3 linked regions of the Drosophila melanogaster genome follow. Changing the gene in region 3 together with the main gene of any one other region gives a genetic interaction. Each region holds a gene or a part of one and is shown on either strand. Other genes may lie near its edges.

Region 1 (5,917 bases), on a different chromosome or scaffold from region 3:
ATTTGTGATCTTAGTCACTCACAAGATTAGAAGCAATAATGTTTACAATACCTTAATTATATGTCAAATGGTTCGGAATATTGGTTTTAATATTTTTTCAGACTAGTGATACTAATCAACTGCTTTCTTTTCGTTGCAGTTTGTTTATCGTTTCCTAATTTGGCTGCCGTTGAGCTGGAGTTGGCATTGTGACAAGCAGCTGGAGGAGATTGAGATCCTGCGCCCGATCCTAAACCCACAAAGCTGCCAAATGCGACCAACGCTCTCAAACACACAAGCACACACATACACACCCACACACAAAAGAAAACACACATTGTTTTATGCGATCTTTTTATTAAGTATTTCATTTAAGGCTTATTGTTTATGCAAACAATCAACAAACATGATTACATTTTAAGCTTTACGTTTAGCGCGCCAAAAACAAAAAGAAATCAAGTTATGTAATAATGATGCAATCGCAACTCAAGAGGACACCTAACAATTTGCTACATTACATTTAACTAAATGACTACATTACTTGGAAATCGTTAAGTGTCTATTGTATACTATAACAAAAAAAAAAACCATATGCGTGTAAACACTCTCTGAACAATAAACGAAAAACCAAACGGCCATTTGACTTAATCCGCAGATCAAGCCGAAATCTGTAACTAAATAACTGAGAGGACTTCTGAGTGAATCTGGTTTGTGGTGAGGATCTGACAATCAAATAATCTAGAAAATCCTTTTCAGAAAATCAAACTGAAAACGTTTCTACTTAGATACAACTTGAAACTTCATTTTAACATAAGTTTGGTGTTGCCAAGTCTATTAATGCATTATGACAAACGGTTTTGATATACTAATTGCCCTTGATTGGTATATATTTTAAAATCCATAAATTCAACAAAAAAAATCGAAGCTTGAAAATCATCTATAAATCTATTTAACAGCCTTTTCCTCTTGCCGTTTAAATGTATTCAAAGTGCGATTAGGAAAACCCACATTGGGGTCTTTTATGAGTATTTATGTGTAAACTTCACATTAACATGAGGTGGATAAGAAAAACTAAACGTTTTAAGAAACTTGTTCACGACGCAAATAGTAAACGAAGTTTACGAACCCATATTGACGTCAAGATCGAGTTAATACTAAATAAATGTTGTAAATTAGGGAGATCAAAAAACCCGGTCCAAATGGGTTTTTCATTCATAACGAAATAATAACGGAAGCTAGACAAATGACCAAAACACTTTTCCGGACATAAATATGAGAAAATATGGGAGGAGTGGGTTTATAAACAGGCCCAAAAACCTGAAACCGAAACTCGTAGACCCATTCATACGAATGGAAATGCCACAAAATACTATATTTATAACATCTGCGCCTAGCTTCGAATTTTGTGGGCGGGGCAAATGGAGGAGGAGGAGGAATCGAGTGGACAGCTGGAAACGGAAAAAAAGAAGAAAAGCCCTGTCTCCTCTTCTTCCCACGTCGGTTACGTTTCGTTGAGCGAAATGATCAACATATTCAAATGGTCGTTACGCACGCTACACAGAAAATAGCATTGTGAACGTTCTTAACAAATATTATGATACACTTTAAAAGCATATACTAAAGGGAAATGTTAATTTTCGATAAGTCTCTTTAAATTATTACAATTACTATAAACTATAACTGTGTTATAGTATTTACAATTATAATTTATTTTATATACAATTATTTTGCTCAGTGCAGTTGAAGTGACTAGATCAAATGCAGGGCATACGAAAACAATGAAACCCAGCCGAGCAACCATCCGAAATGTTGACCCGACCACTTCCACTTATTGGCGGCAGTTGTGATAAGATGCACCGCCTCACTTGTTGATCTCTCCCTGCCAGTTGTTGTTCTTGTTGTTGTTGTGATGCATGTGGTTTCCAAGGCAAGGAGCAGAAGCAACATATGCGTAAAGAAAAACATAAGCGGCGTTGCTGTCCGGATGCCGTGTGAATTTCACATTTCACTGCCTTGTTTCTGAATATTTGTGTACTTTTAATGTACATATGTGTGTACTATGTAGTTCCTCGGGTTCCTGTGGACTGTCTGCGATCCAGAACGCCCACGTAATGTGCGCTACGGTATAAACAGCCGGGCATTTGATTTTTACTTACTTTGCTAAGCATAACTAGCTATTGATACATGGTTATTGGAATAGATATGAATCTTAAACTGGTTGAATTTAAAAATAAACATTGCTTTCTGATATAATTCCTTAACGATCGATCATAAACAAAACAGGGTTTTTTATTGCTTTGTACCGCCCTTCTTAAGTCGCATATGCCTCGACTTTCTCTGCCGGCGATCTTCGGTTGTTTCCGCTGTTGGTGGCGCCGGTGCAACATGTGTGTGTGTTTAAGTGTAGGTGACCGCTGCTGCGTGTGTGCGTTTTCATTCACAAAATTTTTGGGAGGTGCATGTGTACACTTGCCGCTTGGAAATTTTAATTCAGTTCCATTTCGGCCGACCTGCAACACGTTCGTAATTCGGAGTGTGTTTCAAAGTTAAGCAACTAAAAACCAATCGGAATTAATAAAAACATCAATTAAACCTCAAGTTAAAATAAAAAAAACCAAAAATTCAGTGTTTAATAATAATCAATTTTAAATAAATTACAAAATATATAACTGTTTGTTGGAGCTAACGATATATATTCGATAGCCAGAACTGGTGAAATATCGAAATTAAACTTAAACATTTTTAATGAAAACCTTACTGTTGTGCTTAACTTAATAAGCATAAGCCGTTGTTGAATAAAATAAAAAAATTATTTTAAAACATATCTGCTTCAAACAAATTATTAAGCAAACATTAATCATTTGCGTTTCCCGTGGTATTTTCGGGGCACCGTGCTAAGGTCACACTAATTCGTTGGAGTCATACAACCGTCTCGCTACGGTCACTCTAGTTCTGATTCCGCTTCGAAAGGTTGTTCGCGGATGCGTGTAAACCCGCAAAGCAAATAAACTCGGAGAACCAAGTTTTTGCGATTCTGATTCAAGCAACCGAATTACTTTCCATACTTCGATAATATAATCCCACGTCTGCTAGTGCGTGCAAAAAACAGTTTGTAGTTAAAACGAAATACTAAAATCAGTCGAGCCCTGAAGCAACAGGGAAAGTGCATTTCGTGAGCGGCAAATCGACTCATATTCCCGTCACACCAGCTCAATGCACAATGCAACGCTGCAGCGAGTGATGAAATTCAAATGCAAATAGCCGGCTAATAAACCTGTTAAAGAAAAACAAATAATTTCGAGTTATTAAAGTTTCGTGAAGATCGAGTGAAGGAGTTAGATAAATTTCCAATCGCGTGTTGCAAGTTCCCCAGTGGGTAGCTGACAAAAAGCTGGCTGCTTTAAGCGCACAATGCTGCTGAAGAAGAAGCGCTATATGTTCGACGAGCGAGACGACAATAATATTAACTCGCCCGTCGCCGTCGAGCCAAGCAGCAACAACAACAAAATGGCCGATACACGCGAAGTGCGCATTGAAGAGCAATTAAAAGTGAAAATTGGTATGTAAATCGAGTGCGAAATCGTTCAAAAACATCAAAAATATGTCGAAGAACATGCGTGGCATGAACGTTGAGTGAAATACGCGCAGCAACGTGCGTTTTTTATGTTCCAAAGTGTGCTGGAATTTTGACAGCGTCGCCGTTTGCCCCGCGGAGCCTCTTCCAAGCAGAAAACAACATAGAATCGGGAGAATATGTCTAAAAGTTTTCCAAAATGTTGTGTAATCTAATGGCAAACCGAAATTTGTGCGAGTTGAGGCAAAGAAAGTCGATTAATTGAGAAAACAAATGTGTTTTTGTTCTAGAAATGCATATTGCGTTCAAGTGTATAAGCATGCTGTCCCGCTCTGACTCGCGTGTTGCTCTGTGCGTGTGTGTTTCTGTTGCCTTTTTCCCTGTGTGTGTGTGTTTTTTTTTCGTGCAGCAGCAGTGCAATACATTTGTTGTTGCTGCCGTTTGAGAAGTAATGGATGACCAGGCTGAATGTTACGGCATTCGCTTCTTGACCCACCCCCAGAACCGCTCTTCCTCCTTCATCGCCCAGCACACCCCCCGCAGTTTTGAATGCGCCCCTTTTTGTGAATGAATCGGAAATCAAGCATGTGTCTGTGAGACGCTCCAGCGCATGCTCACACACACGCGACAAACGCACACACACAAGCGGCAGAGAGATCCCAGCAACAATGTGTGGGTTTTTTTATGAATGGAATTTTCGAATTCGGTGTACTTTTCTCAATACGAAGGTGTCTGTTTTATGAATGATTATCAAAAGCAACAAGCGAAAAGAGCATCGATTAATGGCCTACTATATATTGGCAAGAGGTCAAATGAATGAATGACGCTCTCTCACTTTTCCTCTCCATTCTGCCATCCACTTCATTCTGAAGCGAGAGCGAAGCAGACTGCAAGAGATAGACGAAAAATAAACTTGCGGTTGTTTTTTGGTGGTTTTACATTTCCTGTTGAAACATAAAAAGTAAAACAGAATTATGAATAACCACTGGCTGTGTGTACTGTGCGGGGAGGGGGGGGGGGGGTTCAAAAGTTCCCGTGATCTCATTTTCACACCTGCACACGCATTTATTTTTACCTCTTCTGCTTCTCACATTTTCAATCTCGCAACTCATAAGCAGCTTTTGCTATGCTTTTTCAACATAAATTATATGCAAAGCTGCAACAACATTGTTGCCTTGCCGCTTTTGATTTCCGTTTCCCAGCGCCCAGAGTTTCCCTTCGTGTGTTGCGGTTTTGTGTTCTTTTTCTCCGGCCATAAAACTCTTGCTTTTTTCAGTTGCTCTTCTTTTTTTCCGTGTCTTCCCCTCTTCAACTGCTTTTTGCACGCTTCAATTGTTTTCGCATGCGCCTCTGTCTTTGTCGGGATCTTCTCTTCGCACCCTCCTCTCCTCTCGACACTTCCTTTTGCCACATTCCCTTCTTTCTCCAGCTGCTTTAACCCTTTTGGGTTCTGCGAAGAAGATGGCACAATATTGGTTAAAAATGAATTAAAACACGTTTCTGCGCTGATTGAAGAACGAAAGTTATGCACTTCCTTCGATTATCGGGTTGTTATGGCAAATTAGCTGTCACCTTTTTACCTCCATTTCATTCGTTCGCCTTTGTGGTTCATGTTTACCCTCTTTACCTGCAAAAATTCCGTTAAGGATCGACCACAGCTTCCCAAGATACATATCTGATCTCATTAAAAATCCTGAGTAGTTATTACACAACACCATATCTAAAGGAATTGCCATTCAAAAATGCCTCTAAAATGTTAAAAAATGCTGTGTTATGGATCGGGAATACCTATCGAGCAGGAAATTTAACCATATTCTCTAGTTTTATAGAAGTATTATTGGGAACTCACTATTATTTATTTATAGTTTTCCCTCTTAAAAACTCTACTAAAGATATAGAAATGCGATTTCAAACGGCTCACGATCACGTTTTCTAATGATTGAAGAATGAAAGTTATTCATTTCCCATAATCATCATTGATTATCGCATCATTATAGCACATTAGCTGCTGTGTCACCTCTATTGCCCATCAACAGTCAGCTTCTTTCCCATCCGCTTTATAACGTGATATATGTACGTATTTATATATCGTTATAAGCGCTATACATATCTATGTATGTATATGTATGTACACCCTGCATTCTTCTCCCAAGTATCATATTTCCACTTCATTATGCTTTGCATGCTTAATAATAATACTTCCACATCGTGCTCAGTTTCAATTACACACGGAGTTTCGCTTTTGTTGCTATTGTTGTGGGGGCTTTCCATTTCCATTTTGTTGCTCGTTGCGATTTCTACACGAAACGTCCGTCCAAAATTGGCGTAATACTTTTCCACTTAATTAAAATGTTTAGCGCATAA
Region 2 (8,471 bases), on a different chromosome or scaffold from region 3:
TTGCCGGCCCACCAAAACGCCTTGTTTCACTGGCACTTTCACCTACAAACAAGTAATTGAACAATTTTGTTGCGATTTGGAAGCGCACTCATTACCTTCATGCTGCTGCAAAACCTGGTAAAGATTAGTCTTCCACACGGACGAAGAAGCATTGTGAAATCAGCCCGTTACGGGTTTCCTTAACAATCTAATCGGCAATTATTCGGCAATCTCAAAACCTGAATCTGAAACACTGAACTTTGTTCGTCGAAATCAGCTGTTTGAGGCGCTTAACCCTTAGCTGGTGCTGCATGAGTGATTTTCGACGTCAATTAGTTCAAGTTGTAAATAGAAAATATAAACATTTAATTTACTTTAACTTAAAGCTCTAATTAAAAGATGTAATTTTGAGTACTGGAGAATTTCTTGTTAATGTCAAAAAAGTAACTCATCGCAATTTCCCTTTACTTAAAAACGTTAAGAACAACAAAATAAAACTGCCAACTTTACACATTAAGGTTACATTTAAAATGTTTCTAATTTTTATTTGACTAGTTCCATTGCATAAACTTAAATACATGTTCATTTATGGGTTTCCATTTTACTTATCGAATTTTTATCTTGTGTTTTAAATGAACTCGTGTCCGTATTTTGGTCCACGTCCGGCGGTCGAGCTGTCCGCTTGGGATTGGAGAAATTGGTGTTTAGTCAGAAGGACCCAGGGAAGGATCCAACTTGAGAAAGGTTTGAGCTTTCTCCGCCTCCAAGCAGGATGCACAACTCACCGAGGGGCGTCGACGAACGTCGCGAGTCATATATAGATGCGCATCTTTATGGTAAGGTATGGTTTTGGTAAGGTAAGGTAGGGTATAATAATTGTTAATTAACTTTAGTTTAAGCATAGTTCACACCAAAAGTCGGAAACATTTACACTTATGTACACATTTAACACACATACATCCAACACTTAATAAACATTTATATATATGTAGAATATGTGGTAATAGTAATATTTAGAAAACATTGAAAGCATTCCGTCAATCCTCCTTCGGAGAATGCCATCATATTCCATTTTCGAGACTCTTTTAGCCATGGTTTCTTGTTTTACTTGTTGCTTGTCCGTCGCGGTTGCTTTCATTAAAATAAGGGCCACAAAAATTGTGATTACAAATAGTAAATTGGTGTTTTGTTCTTCATCTCCATCGTTTTGTCGTCAAAAAGTTGTTGATCATGGTTTTCGCTCGCTTTTAAAATCGCCTCAACGCCAGTGTGCGTTTCAGGTAGAGGCAAATGGCCCGATGGATGAGCTCATACTGCTCCGAGTTCTGGACCATCCCGCCCCGCTGCAGGCGAAGATTGCAAACGATGCCCAGGACGTCCACGAAAATGTCCGGCATCTTGGGCAGACGGTCAAAGGATGGCGGCGTCTTAACCGCCTCCGCATCGCGATGATCCAGAATGTGGCTGATGTGCCGGATGGTGTTGCAAGTAAAACTGCTGTCGCTGTCCGTTGGGTTATGGTACTCCTCTGTCGAGCTGCTGGTCAGCGATTTGGTGAGCATTCCTGTCAGCGAGTAGGCCAACGACTGCCGCAACTGGCGCACTGCATTCAGGATGGCCGTGAAGCAACCGGTGCGCCCAATTCCAGCCGAGCAGTGGATGACGGGAAGGGGCTGGACTGCATTGAAGATGTCCTGCTGGTAGATCTCCAGCCGCTGAGCAGCCAGGTGGGCATTCCTCTCGCTCCTGGTGTCATCGTAGATGTCAAACTCCGACTCACACTTTCCAAGGTTGAGTACATGCAAGCAGGTGTCCAGCAGCGTGTTGATGTCCCGAGGCGAGTGATGATCCGGCCAGTCGGGATACCAATAGTGGTAGCAGTAGATTTTCTGCAGGTGGTAGCTAGCACTCTGTGGCACACGAATGCAATAGAGCAGCACCAGCTTTCTCACCGAGTAACCATTTCTTCGCACAATGCCGACGTTTTTAATGAGGAAGAAGCTTCCCTGGGCGGGCAAAGCCTCCAGCAGATCCCCTTCCAGCGTCACCTTCACCGACTCCACGCCTATGTGCCGGCCACTTATCTCATAGTCGATCGCATCCGAGGAAGCCACCACAGTGTCCGGCACAAAGGTGGGCGTTAAATACCGATCGAAGTAATCCCGGGCAGCCGCACTCAGCTGAAACACTTCACACTTGGCGGCCACCGCGAAGATCTCATTCAATTCGATGGGGAAGTAGACGGCGCACTTCTGCCGGTTCGCTTCCGTGAAGTTTGTGAGCATGACAATCTTCTGGAAGTACTGCTGCAGGATTTGCTCCCTGTCAACGTGAGGACTGCTGCTGCTGCCTCCATCCACGCACCGTCTTATGTAGCGCTGCGTGTTCTGGTATATCATAAGCCAGAACTCGAAGATTGTATTGGGCAGTGGACCCTGCGTGGCCACATAGCACTTCGACACGTAGTCGGGTCCCTGAAATGAAGGAAATATATACATTACTTTCATTGGATTTGCGCTTAGTTCCATTACCTTGATGTAATTGGCATTAATGTAGGGCAAGTCCTCGCTAGCGGTCACGGAGCTGGTCCGTTTTATTTCCCCCAGCAAGCTAGTCAGCTCGCTGGACTCGGATTCGAGTAGCACGCGAGAGTTCTCGTTTGGCAAGATAGTCTTGTAGCGATTTTTTGTCTGCGAGCCGAAGACCATTGGCTTCTCTTGGTGATTGAGCGGCAGGTCCCAGAACTCCTTGTGCAGATCCCGAAAGATTCTCTTTTGTTCGTTTTCTTTCAGTTCCGGTATTGGTTGCGCCATCCTACTAACCACTGTCTGGTAGGACGCGAGCAGTTCACTGTCCTCCGAGCTCGGGGGCACCATATCCGTGGGTGTCTCCACATCCCGTGCGTTGGAGCCCAGCACCGGCGGCTGCTCTATGATGTTCCTATTCGTCTGGTAGCTGTGATCGAACACGTAGTTCAGCCGGATAAGATCAAACTGATTAAGTGGATTGGAGGCGCTCTGCAGCATCTGTATGCTGGCCAAGTAGATCTTGAACTCCTCGCTAGTCGTTTGGGGCGACAGAGGACGGGTCATAATGTTGCGTACGGTGCCAGCGCAAGTGCACGTCGCGCCAATGGCCTGATCTTCCCTCACCGAATCCTGCTGAGGATTGGGTTGCAAGTCCGAGGCGGATCCGAAACATACCTGCCCGAAGAACTTTTGGCTATTGGCTTTACTGCTGTTCAAGTTCTCAGTGCTAAAGAATTTGCGCTGATGCGGGGCTTGGTTGGCGGCAGCACAACTGCAAACCGTGACTTTCGGTTGCACGATGTCCGTCATCTGGATCTCGGTACCTGCTGCTCCTCCCAGTATGCTGCCCATGTTGAGAGTGAGGCTTTGATTGGAGCCACGACGTTCTAAAAGTCCTCGTTTCGGAGTAGGTACATTGGATCCAGAGCCCGATCCCGAGCCGGTGGAATTGGTTCGCATATTGAGTCGGTTGTACTTTTCCGCACTTAACATTGCCTGTTGCTGTTGGAGCTGCTGCATGGAGTTTAGATCTCCACACGATGTTGTAGTGTGCCCCGTCTTCAGGGTGATACTGTGATTTGATCCCCGCCTCCTGAACAACCCCTGCCGACTACCCTGGCTGCTTCCCAGCAGATGTGACTGTGGCAATTGATCCGCTCGAATTTGGCTGGCGGTTCCCGCATCCAAATTGCAGCTGGACTTGGAGTTGAGTATTGAGCCCAGGCTATAGTTGGAATGACTTAGTCCACTGTTCATTAGGTTGCCACAAGAGCTGTGCAGGTTGAGCGTTAAACTGTGATTGGATCCCCGACGCTGAAGGAGATTCATCGATGATGTAGACACTGTGGTCTTTGCCTGGAGTGTCGGCATCGGCAAATCCATTGACTTCTGCTTGAAAGGCGATTCCTTAGGACCACCGCCAGAGGAGGAGAACTCCACCAGGGTAAGGCACTCGGGAAGCGTTTTTAAATTTGTGCTGGACGAGTGCAGTAACTGATTGTGCTTGTGGGCGCTTCTCGGCGCTAGGCTTGCGCCTATTCCAAACTTCGAGCCACCGTCCACGCTACAGGCGGACTTCAGTTCAAAGTCCCCCAAACTGGGGGTTAAACTGGCGTCCGAGTCCAAGGAGCTTTGTGTCGTGGAGCTGCAGTGTGTCGGTTGCACCTGATATGGGTTCTGCTTGCGGTGGTACATAAGCCAGTCAGTGGTGTTGATTCCTGGTGACTTTCTGCGCGGCGTTCGTCTTTGATTGGCCAAGCTTAGGTGACTATCCAGTCGCGAGAGCGATGTTGAGTGGATAGCGGATGCGGGCTGTTGAAGATGAAGGTGATGGTGGATAACACTTGTCGATGGCTGGCTCTGTCCTGTCTCCATGTCATCACAACTGCCATGAGATTCGGTTATGTTGTGCACCACGATTGACAGTTCCGATTCGTTGGCAGCCGAGTCCAGCGAGCGGGCCTTCTCCTTGGTGCTCTTGATAGTCGGTGTCTTGGGCTTGGGCAATGGTGATGGCTGGCTCGAGTTTTTTATGGGCACGTCCGTGATGCGAATGGTGAGATTATTTTTATTCTTGCGGTTCTTTCGCCCTTCCGATTTTTGTTGCTGCTGCTCCGGCGGCTCGGCCAACGCAGGACTACGATCCCGACGTGTAGCTTCCTCTAAACAGACTGTATCCATGGGCGCATCCTGCACGACATGATCGATCTCGGGGAAGCGAAAGAAGTTGCCGTTCTTGTAGCCGGCCGAGTTAATAATGTTCAGGGGTGAACCGGACACGTTTAGGTTGTTGATGGAGGATAGTAGTTTCGGGGAGTAGCTTAGGCGACTGGCCTCCAGTCCCGGCGTCGTGGAGGACTCATCCTTAAACAGGATGGTGGGTGAGTTGTGCTCGCTCTTCGACAAGTACAAGCTGTTCTCTAGGTCTTGGTCGACTGACCCGCCCTTGGGCATAGTGTTCTCCTTGTCGATGCCACGGCCACTGACCCGCTCCTCGCCGCTGGAGGTATTAATATGCGGCGAGCAGGATCGGCGATCATACTGTGATAACCTCTTGAACTTGCGGCCTAAAGTGGGAGACTGTGAGCTGGATGGATGGTGGACGTGGGCTGCTGGATGGGGGCTGGTAATGGTGAACTGCCGGGGGGTGAAGACCTCCTCCTCCTGATCCTCGTGCTCGGGAAAGCCCGGAACCCCGCCCCCAACCTCCACCGTGGGCGACGGAAACTCGAAGGACGTCTGCAGGTACTCGAGGGGCGTAAAGTAGGGTGTACTCTTGTTGCTCTCCGCATCCTCGCCAGCTTCAAGTGGGGTCGTGTCGGAGGGGGCGGCGTGGGTGGGACGGGGGGTCTGTGGGTAGGGGTACTCAATGGGTGCATTCTCCTTGTTGTTGTTTCGTAGCTTGTCCATGATACACACACACAATTGCTGAAGCGGGGCGATCGCAGCGCAGTCGCTCCGCCCGTTTAGTGTCTTGTCCTCACTCGATCGGCATTATAACTATCTCGCCCGCACAGTTAGCACTTCCGAATTGGACGCAAATCATGGGGAAAAGAGCGTTTTCTTTTCACAACATTTTCAGAGCTAAAGCATGGAGGGCTACCAGACCGCGTATGTAATCGATCCGGCAATGCCTTCATTGCTTACCGTGCTGCCAGGCCGCAGACTAACTGCACCAAGACCTGGCAACGTTGTACCTAATTTAACCGCATTTTTCAAGTGTCTTTTAAAATAAAAAGAAAGAATAGGTTAACAGATCTAGTGTTTACATCAAGGAGTTGCAGAATTTGTAATGCAGATGTTGTACACGGGCGATAGTTAATTCAATCGATCAACTGAGATGGTATCAGACAATTATATTTTGCATGCATCCAGAAAAATTGTTGTAAAAGATCACAGACTTAGTTCTAAATAGTATTTCAACCTACCTGTATTTTTGTTTATGAAATCACTACAAAGTTGTGAACAATTTAGAAGCAACAACGTAGTGTTCCTATTACCACCGTTCCGTTTACCTCACAGTTGCACGTTGCTCTTTGGCACGCTTTTATCTGTGCATTTGCTTGGAAATAATTAATTGAGTTAGGCATTTAAATCCTTTTGTGTACTTTAGACTTATTTAAAGACCTTTTAGATTGGTTTAATTTGCCGAAAGACGAAAACAAACAAATTTGTGCGACAGCTGACTTCATTATTTCAACGACAATAGCAAAAGGCCACACTAATTTTGCGAAAAGCGCGTGGTATTTAATACCTTATTTATTTGCTTTATTTCGCCATTAGAAGTAAGTTTCGCTGTGTCGAAAATCTAGCAAAGAAAGCCACTGGATCAAGACCTAGTGCATCCAAAACCCAGTAATTCATTTCGATGTCTGAGGGCAGCGGAAGCGAGAATGCGGCCGCAGCAGAGGCTGCGGCCGAGGCAGAGGCCGCGACTGAAGCGGCACTGATGGCTGAAGCTGTGGCTGTGGCCTACCAGAGCGACGAGGAGGAGCAGCCAGAAGCCGAGGATATGCCGGAGCAGGCTGGCGATAACCAGGAAGAGGACGCCGCTGAACAACAGGATGGGGGGGAACCAGAGGCCGACGAAGACGCTGATGCTGACGACGCCATGAGCGTGGAAAATGCGGAAAACGAAAGCGATAGCGGTGGAAACGCCGAGGAAACCGCTGCCGCCGACCGTCGCCAAGCCACCAAGAAGGAGCTCACCCAGATTATCGACAAGTGGGAGCAACAGCAGACCCAAAATGGATACGATCCAGTGCCCACTCTCAGGAGGTAAGCGTGCTTCAAAATCATTAACGCATGGGTCCAACTTAATACCTTTACTATCGCAGCCTTGCGGAGATCTTTGAGCGTGAGAAGGACGTGTATCGGCGCAAGGATCCGGATCCCTTGGACTCACGACATCCATATAGAGCCGATCCCAGCTGCCAGTACGGATTGCTACTCAAGCTGCTCTTTCGGAAGGATACCTTCATGGGCAAAGTAAGAATAAAGTCATGTGATTTTTATTTTTCTAAAAAGCAATGTAAATGTTTTCTTAAAATCAGGTGTTTTAGAATTTCCAAAACATAAGCTAACTAAAGTGAAATATTTTATTTAACTAGCTCCTCAACGATTACCTGCGAGAGAACTATTTCAGTCGCCAGAATGTCAGTCGCAGTTCTCTAGAACTAAACATCTTGGCCTGCCGCCTCATTCTGGAGATAATGCCAGGAATGGAGACCTCTGCAGTATTTCAGACCGCCGAAGGCGATGGAACCATCAATCGCATCTACTCTTGGGCAGAGGACAGCATTGAACCGCTTCAGAGCTATGCCACCGGGCTTTTAGCCGAAGCGATGGAAGTGAGCGACATAGCCATAAACTTTCGCGATCTTAATATTCGATTGGTGCCAAAGATGATCAAGCGTCTGCACATGCTCCTGGCGATCAGCAAGAGCGCCACTTCAGATGTCAATACGTCGATGCACAATCTGTCGGCTGACAGCAGCACGGCGGGCATGCTTAGCTGGGTGGCCTGCGCCAGTAATGCATCGGCTCCTCAATCGCCGCAGCACAATGGCAGTGGGCTGGGAGCAAGTTCCTCGCAGCATGGAGACGCCTCTAATATGTCCATTCTGTTCGAGAACAGCAGAGATGCCTTTTCCGTATCTCGCTATTACAAACGGATGTACATTCCTTTGCACCCGGCCACAGCAGATACCAGCCAAATGTTAATCATGCGCTTCCTGACCAGCCTGGGCGAATATCAAGAGTTCCTAGCCATGGCTTTCGAAAACAATGTGATGCAGCTAATTTTTGGCTACCTGGAGAACTTGGATCGCCGGGACACCTGCTTGGCCTACGAAGTTTTGAAGTATCTGGCTTCCCTTCTTTGCCACAAGAAGTTTGCTTTAGAGTTCATTTCACACGGTGGACTGGAGGTCAGTAAATGGTCTTGTAGAGGGAATGTAATTATTTTTAACTTTACTATTTTTTACAGCTTTTGTTAAAAGTGCCCCGCCCCAGTTTGGCGACTACTGGTGTGTCCATCGCCATCTACTACTTAGCATACTGTGAAGACGCCATGGAACGCATATGCAGTATGCAAAGACCACTTATTTCAGAACTAGTTCGCTACGCGCTTTGGATTCTGGGTCGTTGCCACGACTCCTCAAAGTGCCATGCCACCATGTTCTTCAGTCTGAGCTTCCAATTTAAGGTCATATTGGATGAGTTTGATGCTCAGGATGGTTTAAGAAAGCTGTACAATGTCGTAAGTAAATGGTTTAAACGAAAGAAGTTCGATTAAAGTCAATTACCTTAACTTCTTCCTAATAGATTTCCGTACTAAAAATTCTTGATCCGAGCCACAACGACAGCGATAATGACTCTGATTTCAACGAAGACGTAGAATGTGCTTCCCGACAAATGGTGCGCCACGTCTGCGTAGCCCTCAAGCGCTATATGGAGGCGCAC
Region 3 (7,495 bases):
GCTATTAACAATAGCTGATACAATAATCTTAGGTACTGTCATGCTTTCATAAATAAGTTGGTACCCTCTATATTTTATTCAATCCTGTCATCTATTAAACAACTAAGCTCCACAGTGAATAGCTTGCATTCCTATATTATTTATTTATATAAAACAGAGAATTCAATTGCCTGATATATTTATTGATTGACTTTCTTTTAACGAAGTAAAGGTGCTGCGGTTGTTATTGTTGTTGTTGTTGTTGTTGCTGTGGTTGTTGTAGGGTAAGTCAATGGATTACAAGTTGTGGTGGTTGGTCCGTTCTTGAGGCAGTTGTTCAAAAGCTCGTAGGTATCGGAGGTGTCTTCCACATAGGAGCGATTTGCGTCATTGATGCAAACACTCTTCCGGCTCTCTAGGATCGTATATTGCTCCTGGATCTGAACTGCAATCTGCGTGGCATTGGCCGAAATGGCATAGAAGGTCTTGGAGCTCTCGGCCGAGTTGGTGGAGGCGCATTCGAGGCGGGAGACCACGGTGTCCAGCGGCTGCTGCTCAAGAGTCCAGACCTGGCAATTGGAGTTGGGATACGAGCAGCCGATGTTGGCGGACCTGAGAAGGATCTGGCGATCCTCGGCATACTTCTCGCTGATATGGGATGTGCAATTGTCATAGGCCGAGATGCAAGCCGTAAAGTTAGTTTCGAACTGATCCGCAATTTTGGCCAATTTGGGCTTGTAGATCGAGAAGCACTGCGTGGAGTGATCTGAGTGGACTTCGGCCAGCTCCCTGCTCTGCAGCTGCAGCTCCTGGATGTGGGCGTCTGGTCTAAAGGGAATTTGCAGCTTCACAGCCAGCGAGAGGCCCAGGGAAAGGCAGAAGACCAAGATCTTGGCTTGCTTTGCGAACATCTTGGCCAGGTTAGTTGACGGTGGATGTGACACCCAGACGTATTTATACTCCCATTTATCATTATCTTTTTAATTACACATTAATGTTATATATTTTCAATTACTGATAATGATGGCTCTAAAGGTTTGATGGATGGCAATGTTAAACGAGAGTAGATAAGCTCATGTTTTACTGCCAAAAACCTTTAAGCTTTCTTGATACACTTTTGAAAAACACCTTCATATTGAGCTGATAATGAATAAGTCGTCCAATCCTTTAGCTAGTTTCAGAGGTATAGGATTTAATCGTTTAAACTTGATTAATATTCACTCAAAGTCTTTTATTTACAGCGATAAAAGTTCACGAATACAGGGTGCTCGAGGTGATCTGAATCTTGACTCGAGTCCTAGAGCACGTAGTTCGTGCTGGGAAACTCCCAGTTGGGATCACCCAGGCAGGCTACCATGTCGGCGTAGCACTCGCCGTGGTTGGTGTTGTAGGTCCGGTAGGCTTCGATTTGGCATCTGGATAGCGTTTCCGAGATTACGGACACCTCGGCGAGCAGGCTGGTTTGGTTGTCGGATGCGTTGTAGGAAGCTTTCTCCAGTTCCTTGGATGCCGAAGGACCCTGCGATTGGGTGGTGATATTATTAATGCTATTAAGCGCAAAAAGTTATACAAAATACGGCTTAAAACACTTTAAAATACTCATTAGAGTATGCGTGGAAGATCATAGATTAAGCCACCATTGTACGAATCACTCACCCCAGAGGCCAAGCACTCGAAGGCATCGGAGTTCGAGGTCCTGCCATTGCAGGTCAGGAGGGAAAGGCAGGTGTCCCTCACGGATACGGACAGCTCGTCGCGGGAACTGCGGTAGCTTGAGTCGATCAGGGAGAAGGCCCCGTCGTAATTGTCCTTGCACGCGGTGAAGTCCTCGTTGTACTTGTCCACGTGACCCTTAAGGAGCGGGCTGTAGTAGTCCACGCATTCGACGTTGAAGAGATCCGATCGCATGGCCGGAGAACTGAGCAGGAGCTCCACCAGCGAGGACTCCCTCTCGGTCTCGACGGGAGTGGGCACGGCAGCCACGAAGACGGCGCCGATAGCCAACAAAAGGGGGACGGCCTTGAACGACATATTCACTTTCGACACTTGGAGAACTGGACAACTGGAGTGTGGGGCCCAAAGACCCAGACTTGGCTTTTATACTGTAGTAATTCCAGCAACTAGATTACTAATATTTATGATCCACAAACTATCTGGGGTAGTTCCTGATGTAGACCCCGTTATCGTGACGCCTTGTGGAAGCTCTTCAAATAAAAGGTGTCAATGAAACCCCCAATATCAATTCAACAATATTCATTCCATCAAATAAACTAAATATATTTTACCCATTATAGGCAAAGAGCTACATATGTATATCTACTTTAGAAATTTAACACCATGGAAAATAATTTCGTGTTCTTGTTATACAATATATGTTTAGAGAAAGGTAGTAAATAAGAGACACTAGATTTCGCTGATATTTTTCTTTGAATAATTAATAGTTTTATTATTTAGCTCGTGTATACTAATAATGCATGGCTTATACACCAATTTTATATAAAACATATCAGGAATTCTGTTTATGGTAAATATAGATGCCTACGCAATTTTTATTTACGTCACCTCTAAAATAATTACATTTACTATCAGTTAAGAGGGTATTCACAAATTTTGTATTGCAATTTGTATTAATCACTTGCAGATTATAAAAGATAACACAATTCTAAGAATTCGTGCAGGAAGCACTTTTGGAGTATGGACACTCATAAATTAACGCATACTTAAACTGGCGGAAGCCACAAGAACTAAATGCAGTGGATTTGAACAACTAATTTTTTTGAGTGCACTGCCAGGACCTCGTTTAACACATCTGTTAACATCTGTTTCTACATAGAGTGATGGTGTCTCTTAACTGCATCGCACTTAACATCGCCAATAGGATGGTGTACTTGCTTAGGTGGGTTGCGTGTATTCGCTAGAAGAGTGCCTTCGGTTGCTATCGATAGCCAATAGCTCTTCGAATATCATCGATAAGTATCGCCCTCAGTACATCGATGCCCGATGCTTTTTTACATCACTAGTCACTTTGTTAATCAAAATATTAGAAAAAACTCCATTTCCGCCTCGAAAGTGCATTTCGGGATCGCGCAGAAGTGTTATTAAGTGCGCGACTCGTTCGTTGATCTTAAAAGCGCTAGTAGGCGATGAAAATCAAGTGGAAAACGATCGTTTTTTCTTCTTAAACTTTTACTTACGGCAGACACGCACACGCACGCAGCTCACCGACGCACTCGCACACACACAACCACTCGCACGCGGAGAGAAGAGCAGCAAGCGGAGGAAGAAGAAGCAGATCATCAAACTTAAAATTTGCGAGGTGAAAATAACGAGAGGCGAAGGTTTTCCCAGCACCGAAGATCATAAATCGCGAGTGCGTTTTCATTACCTCCCATTTTTTGGTGGCCATGCCGGATTTCCACCACCCCCCGCCCCTGCTGAAATCGGTGCTGCCAACTTGCTGGCCACTAAACAAATTTTTTTTTTGTGAATGGGATATGGATGCTGTTGCGCGCAATTTTCCCCACATTTTCCACAAAATGTATTTAACGCCCACTTTCGAGTGCTAAATTTAGTCGGCCAAGCGGAAGGACGAAGCCGCGTCCTTGATAAATCGATGTGTCAAAAGGAAATGCAAAAAAGCGCGGGACACAGAGGAAATAGCGGTGAAAAGCGTGGGCGGGCAGCTGCCGCGAGGTCTTCCGCCCCGCCCCCATTTGTGTTTGCGCTTTTTTCCATGTCCTTGCAGTCGGCTTACAGTTATTGTTCTGTGGCACAAGTGCAAAACTCAACAGGGGGAAGCCCCGCAAATGTACCCTGTACATATGTATGAGCATGTATATGTATATTAATTATGAAGCGCCAGCTGATTCCAGTTCGGAATTCACATGTTTTTGCCGGTTTATATATATGTAGTTAGTACCTTATATTTGGAGTCCTTCAGTCTCAACAGTTCAGGTTAAAACAGGTTAAAATAACACAAGTTATAGTAAAAGTATTCAAATCAATAGATAATACTTATTTTGGATTTTCTACCAGCATCCTACTGACGGTCAAGATGCGTTTACGACTCATACAGGTCGAGAATTAGAAAGAGTATAGCAAATAATTATTTCATGTTCAGCTGAAATCAAACTGCCATGAGTCAACTTAACTTCCGTAGAAATTTCTATGAAATGAAATGGTTTTACAAAAGCCGAGACTTGCACATCCGTTTGTGTCAGAAAAATCCAGATACCATTTACAGGAATATTCAGACACAGTATTCAGTTTATTATTTGTGTGTGGAAAACTATAAACTATCTATTTTGGCATGACCTTTGCTTAGTCATCCGCTGGTGAAAGTTCAAGTTCAAGGTCTTGCTGGTTGATATTGATTGGCAGTCGTTTAATGGTTGCATACCCTTGTGTCCTCGATCCGTAGATTCCTTGGCACCGGCTAGCCGTAAGAGGAGGAGAAATTGCACCCGCCCGGCACACAGCACACAGCATGTTCAGTGAACATGGGCGGATTCCTGGATAAGCCGAAAACCGCCAAGCACAATGACGAGGGTGAGGGCAACAAGCTGCTCTTCGGGGTCAGCTCGATGCAGGGATGGCGGTCGGAGATGGAGGACGCCTACTACGCTCGTGCCGGGCTGGGGGATGCCCTGCCGGACTGGAGCTTCTTTGCCGTGTTCGACGGGCATGCCGGATGCAAGGTGTCGGAGCACTGTGCCAAGCACCTTCTGGAGAGCATTATTAGCACCGAGGAATTCATTGGAGGCGACCACGTGAAGGGCATTCGCACCGGCTTCCTGCGCATCGACGAGGTTATGCGGGAACTGCCGGAATTCACCCGGGAGTCGGAGAAATGCGGCGGAACTACCGCCGTGTGCGCCTTTGTCGGCCTCACGCAAGTGTACATCGCCAATTGTGGTGATTCGAGGGCCGTCTTGTGCCGCCAGGGTGTTCCGGTGTTCGCCACGCAGGATCACAAACCCATTCTGCCGGAGGAGAAAGAGCGCATCTATAATGCGGGTGGCAGTGTTATGATAAAGCGCGTAAATGGTACCCTGGCAGTGTCGAGAGCCCTTGGGGATTACGACTTTAAGAACGTCAAGGAGAAGGGACAGTGCGAGCAGTTGGTATCGCCGGAACCGGAGATATTCTGTCAGAGCCGCCAGGATAGCGATGAGTTCCTGGTGCTCGCTTGCGATGGAATCTGGGATGTGATGTCCAACGAGGACGTGTGCAGCTTCATCCACTCGCGAATGCGGGTGACCAGTAACCTAGTGAGCATCGCCAACCAGGTCGTGGACACCTGCCTGCACAAGGTGAGTCTTGATTACCATGCATATCGTCAAAGTTTTCACATGCTGTTCATTTCTTGACTACAGGGTAGCCGCGACAACATGAGCATCATCATCATTGCCTTCCCCGGAGCTCCGAAGCCCACCGAGGAGGCGATAGAGGCTGAACATCGTCTGGAAAAGCAAATCGAGAAGATCACAAGAGGTTGTCTTAGTCGTCTACTCTGTTTATAACTAATCGTAAACTGTTGACCCATGGCGTAGTGGTCTCCTCCGTCTTCGCGTCTCTTTTGAACCGAAATACGTATATTTTGTACCTTGAGCGTCACGAGTACTTTATATGGGCTCCTCGATGGCCTACAGTCCCGACCCAAAGTGCTTCTAGAGCTGTATATGCCCCACTTTGTCCAAAACTAGAATCTTACAAAACAATTCCTTTCCGAAGTAGTTCCAAAACGAAAAACAATACCAAAACGAAAACCAAACCATTGCCATTACTAATGCCAAGAATGAACTCCTCGCACACCCACCTCAAGTACAGTGAAAGCTCTATTGGATGGATAATAATAGGCACTGATAATCTATATGTGTATTTCTAATACTTATTTGAAACCTTTCGAATTTACAAATTCATATCAACAGCAAAAAGGCTGAAGTCCGTTTTTTTTTTTTTACAAGAGTGCTATATAAATGTTGTATACTCTACATAATGTGGCTCATTTATGCTCATATTCTTAGTGCTTAGACATCACGTACATTTAGTTATATATTCCCTTAGAGAGCTTTCACCGATATTTGCCTGTATAAATATGTAAATGGGGTGTGTGTGGGCGTTCGACCAATATCCTATCACTAATGCATAGCAAATACCTGTATAGCGTGTTAGTTTGTCATATCTGGTGGCTGTGCGTGTGGCTGACCAGTGTTCGTCTGCCCCGTGTGTGAGCCTGAGTTATAGTATTATTTATACATGCCTGTGTGCACTACAGCCACTGCCAAAAGCGTTCCATGTATGCGAAATCCAGCCCATTTAGCTTTAGTCGTACATATACACCTAAATAATAACAATTATCGACGAACCTGCCCGAGCTAAGTAGTTAAATGACCCGTCAACCAATTTGTATATACATTTACTTGCATATACGTATACCCCATTTGATACTAGGCGCGATGTGAATCAATCAAACGAAATTGCAATACTTAACGTACGCAGGTATTGACACTCAAAACAAACACTTGGAATTGATGTATCTAAGTAGGAGTAGCGAATTAAATCTTAATTTCTAAGCAAAATCAAATAGGAGAGTATAATGTCTTCAGAGAAGATTAGTTGTAGATAGAAATGTAAATAAGCTGAATAGCTGACAAAAACTTTGAGAAGCAATGAAAACATATATTTTATTAACTAGCAACCGCTCAGATGAACTGTAGTCGTATTACTTGAATTACGTATTTAAAGCAATGAATAACCCTTGGTGGTGTTTATCCGAGACTTCAGTATTCGAGGCACCAAAGTGAAACTCGGCCAAAAACCCGCAGGCCGACCTTGTTGATATAGACAATTACTTTAGACCGAATTCGTACGATTTACAATTAGCCAGTTAGTGAATAGACTTAGAGCATGCATTGCCCACCACTGGTCACAGTAGCTAACCCATTTAGAAATTATTTAGGCTAAGCAATAAACCAATGTCCAGTGTCCAGACGAATTACTTAGCCTAGAGTAGAGTAGCCAAAGGAGTTGAAATGTTATAGAATGTATACGTAGGTTAACGAAACCGAATTGTAAACCTTATGCTCACCAACTGTTGTGCTTGTTGTTAACCGAAGGCAAACGATTACTCCACCCAAATCGATCAGACATATTCCATTCAATCTAAGCAACTTCCCCGAAATATTTGTACTTGGGTGCCCTGGTAAATTGGTGATCCAGTTAAAAGTGTAAAACACACACATCCCACACAGCCGAACATACACGACTTTTAGAGATTAATGAACTACCATTGATGATAGTCAAAAATATAACTTAACGAAAGATTTAAAAACCTAAGCCAAAGTGTTTGTCTGCTGTTCTATTGGAATCATTTCGGCTTTCATTTGCTTATTTCCATTTTCTCTATTCACACTTTTGTTTCTTTGCTTTATTTTTATTATGTTCATTTCGAAAGCTAAACATTCCTTAGCTCCACCTGATTTCGTGAGAGCAGGTTTCAACTAATGCCTAACGT

What was found.
Region 1: of alph (region 3) and RasGAP1, changing one enhances a phenotype caused by changing the other (phenotypic enhancement), as found in Drosophila melanogaster (one study listed by BioGRID).
Region 2: of alph (region 3) and PTP-ER, changing one enhances a phenotype caused by changing the other (phenotypic enhancement), as found in Drosophila melanogaster (one study listed by BioGRID).

Annotation. Positions count from the first base shown.
Region 1 is NT_037436.4:9,852,286-9,858,202, reverse strand, and holds the start of RasGAP1 (Ras GTPase activating protein 1), read left to right. Parts: upstream 1-2,917; 5' UTR 2,918-3,390; coding exon 3,391-3,538; intron 3,539-5,917. UniProt on the Drosophila melanogaster protein: Inhibitory regulator of the Ras-cyclic AMP pathway. May function as a negative regulator of Ras85D/Ras1 in the sev signaling pathway. Acts cell autonomously in cone cell precursors as a negative regulator of R7 photoreceptor cell determination.
Region 2 is NT_033778.4:21,618,821-21,627,291, forward strand, and holds PTP-ER (protein tyrosine phosphatase-ERK/Enhancer of Ras1), read right to left. Parts: upstream 5,627-8,471; 5' UTR 5,418-5,626; coding exon 2,511-5,417; intron 2,454-2,510; coding exon 1,227-2,453; 3' UTR 501-1,226; downstream 1-500. Other genes in the region: clt (cricklet), read right to left, coding at 1-42, 96-152; mahj (mahjong), read left to right, coding at 6,376-6,785, 6,845-6,995, 7,118-7,936, 7,996-8,268, 8,334-8,471.
Region 3 is NT_033777.3:29,588,873-29,596,367, forward strand, and holds the start of alph (alphabet), read left to right. Parts: upstream 1-2,958; 5' UTR 2,959-3,295; intron 3,296-4,221; exon of another isoform or gene 4,222-4,399; 5' UTR 4,400-4,478; coding exon 4,479-5,291; intron 5,292-5,354; coding exon 5,355-5,472; intron 5,473-7,495. Other genes in the region: CG11470 (uncharacterized protein), read right to left, coding at 198-890; CG31041 (uncharacterized protein), read right to left, coding at 1,277-1,498, 1,636-2,010.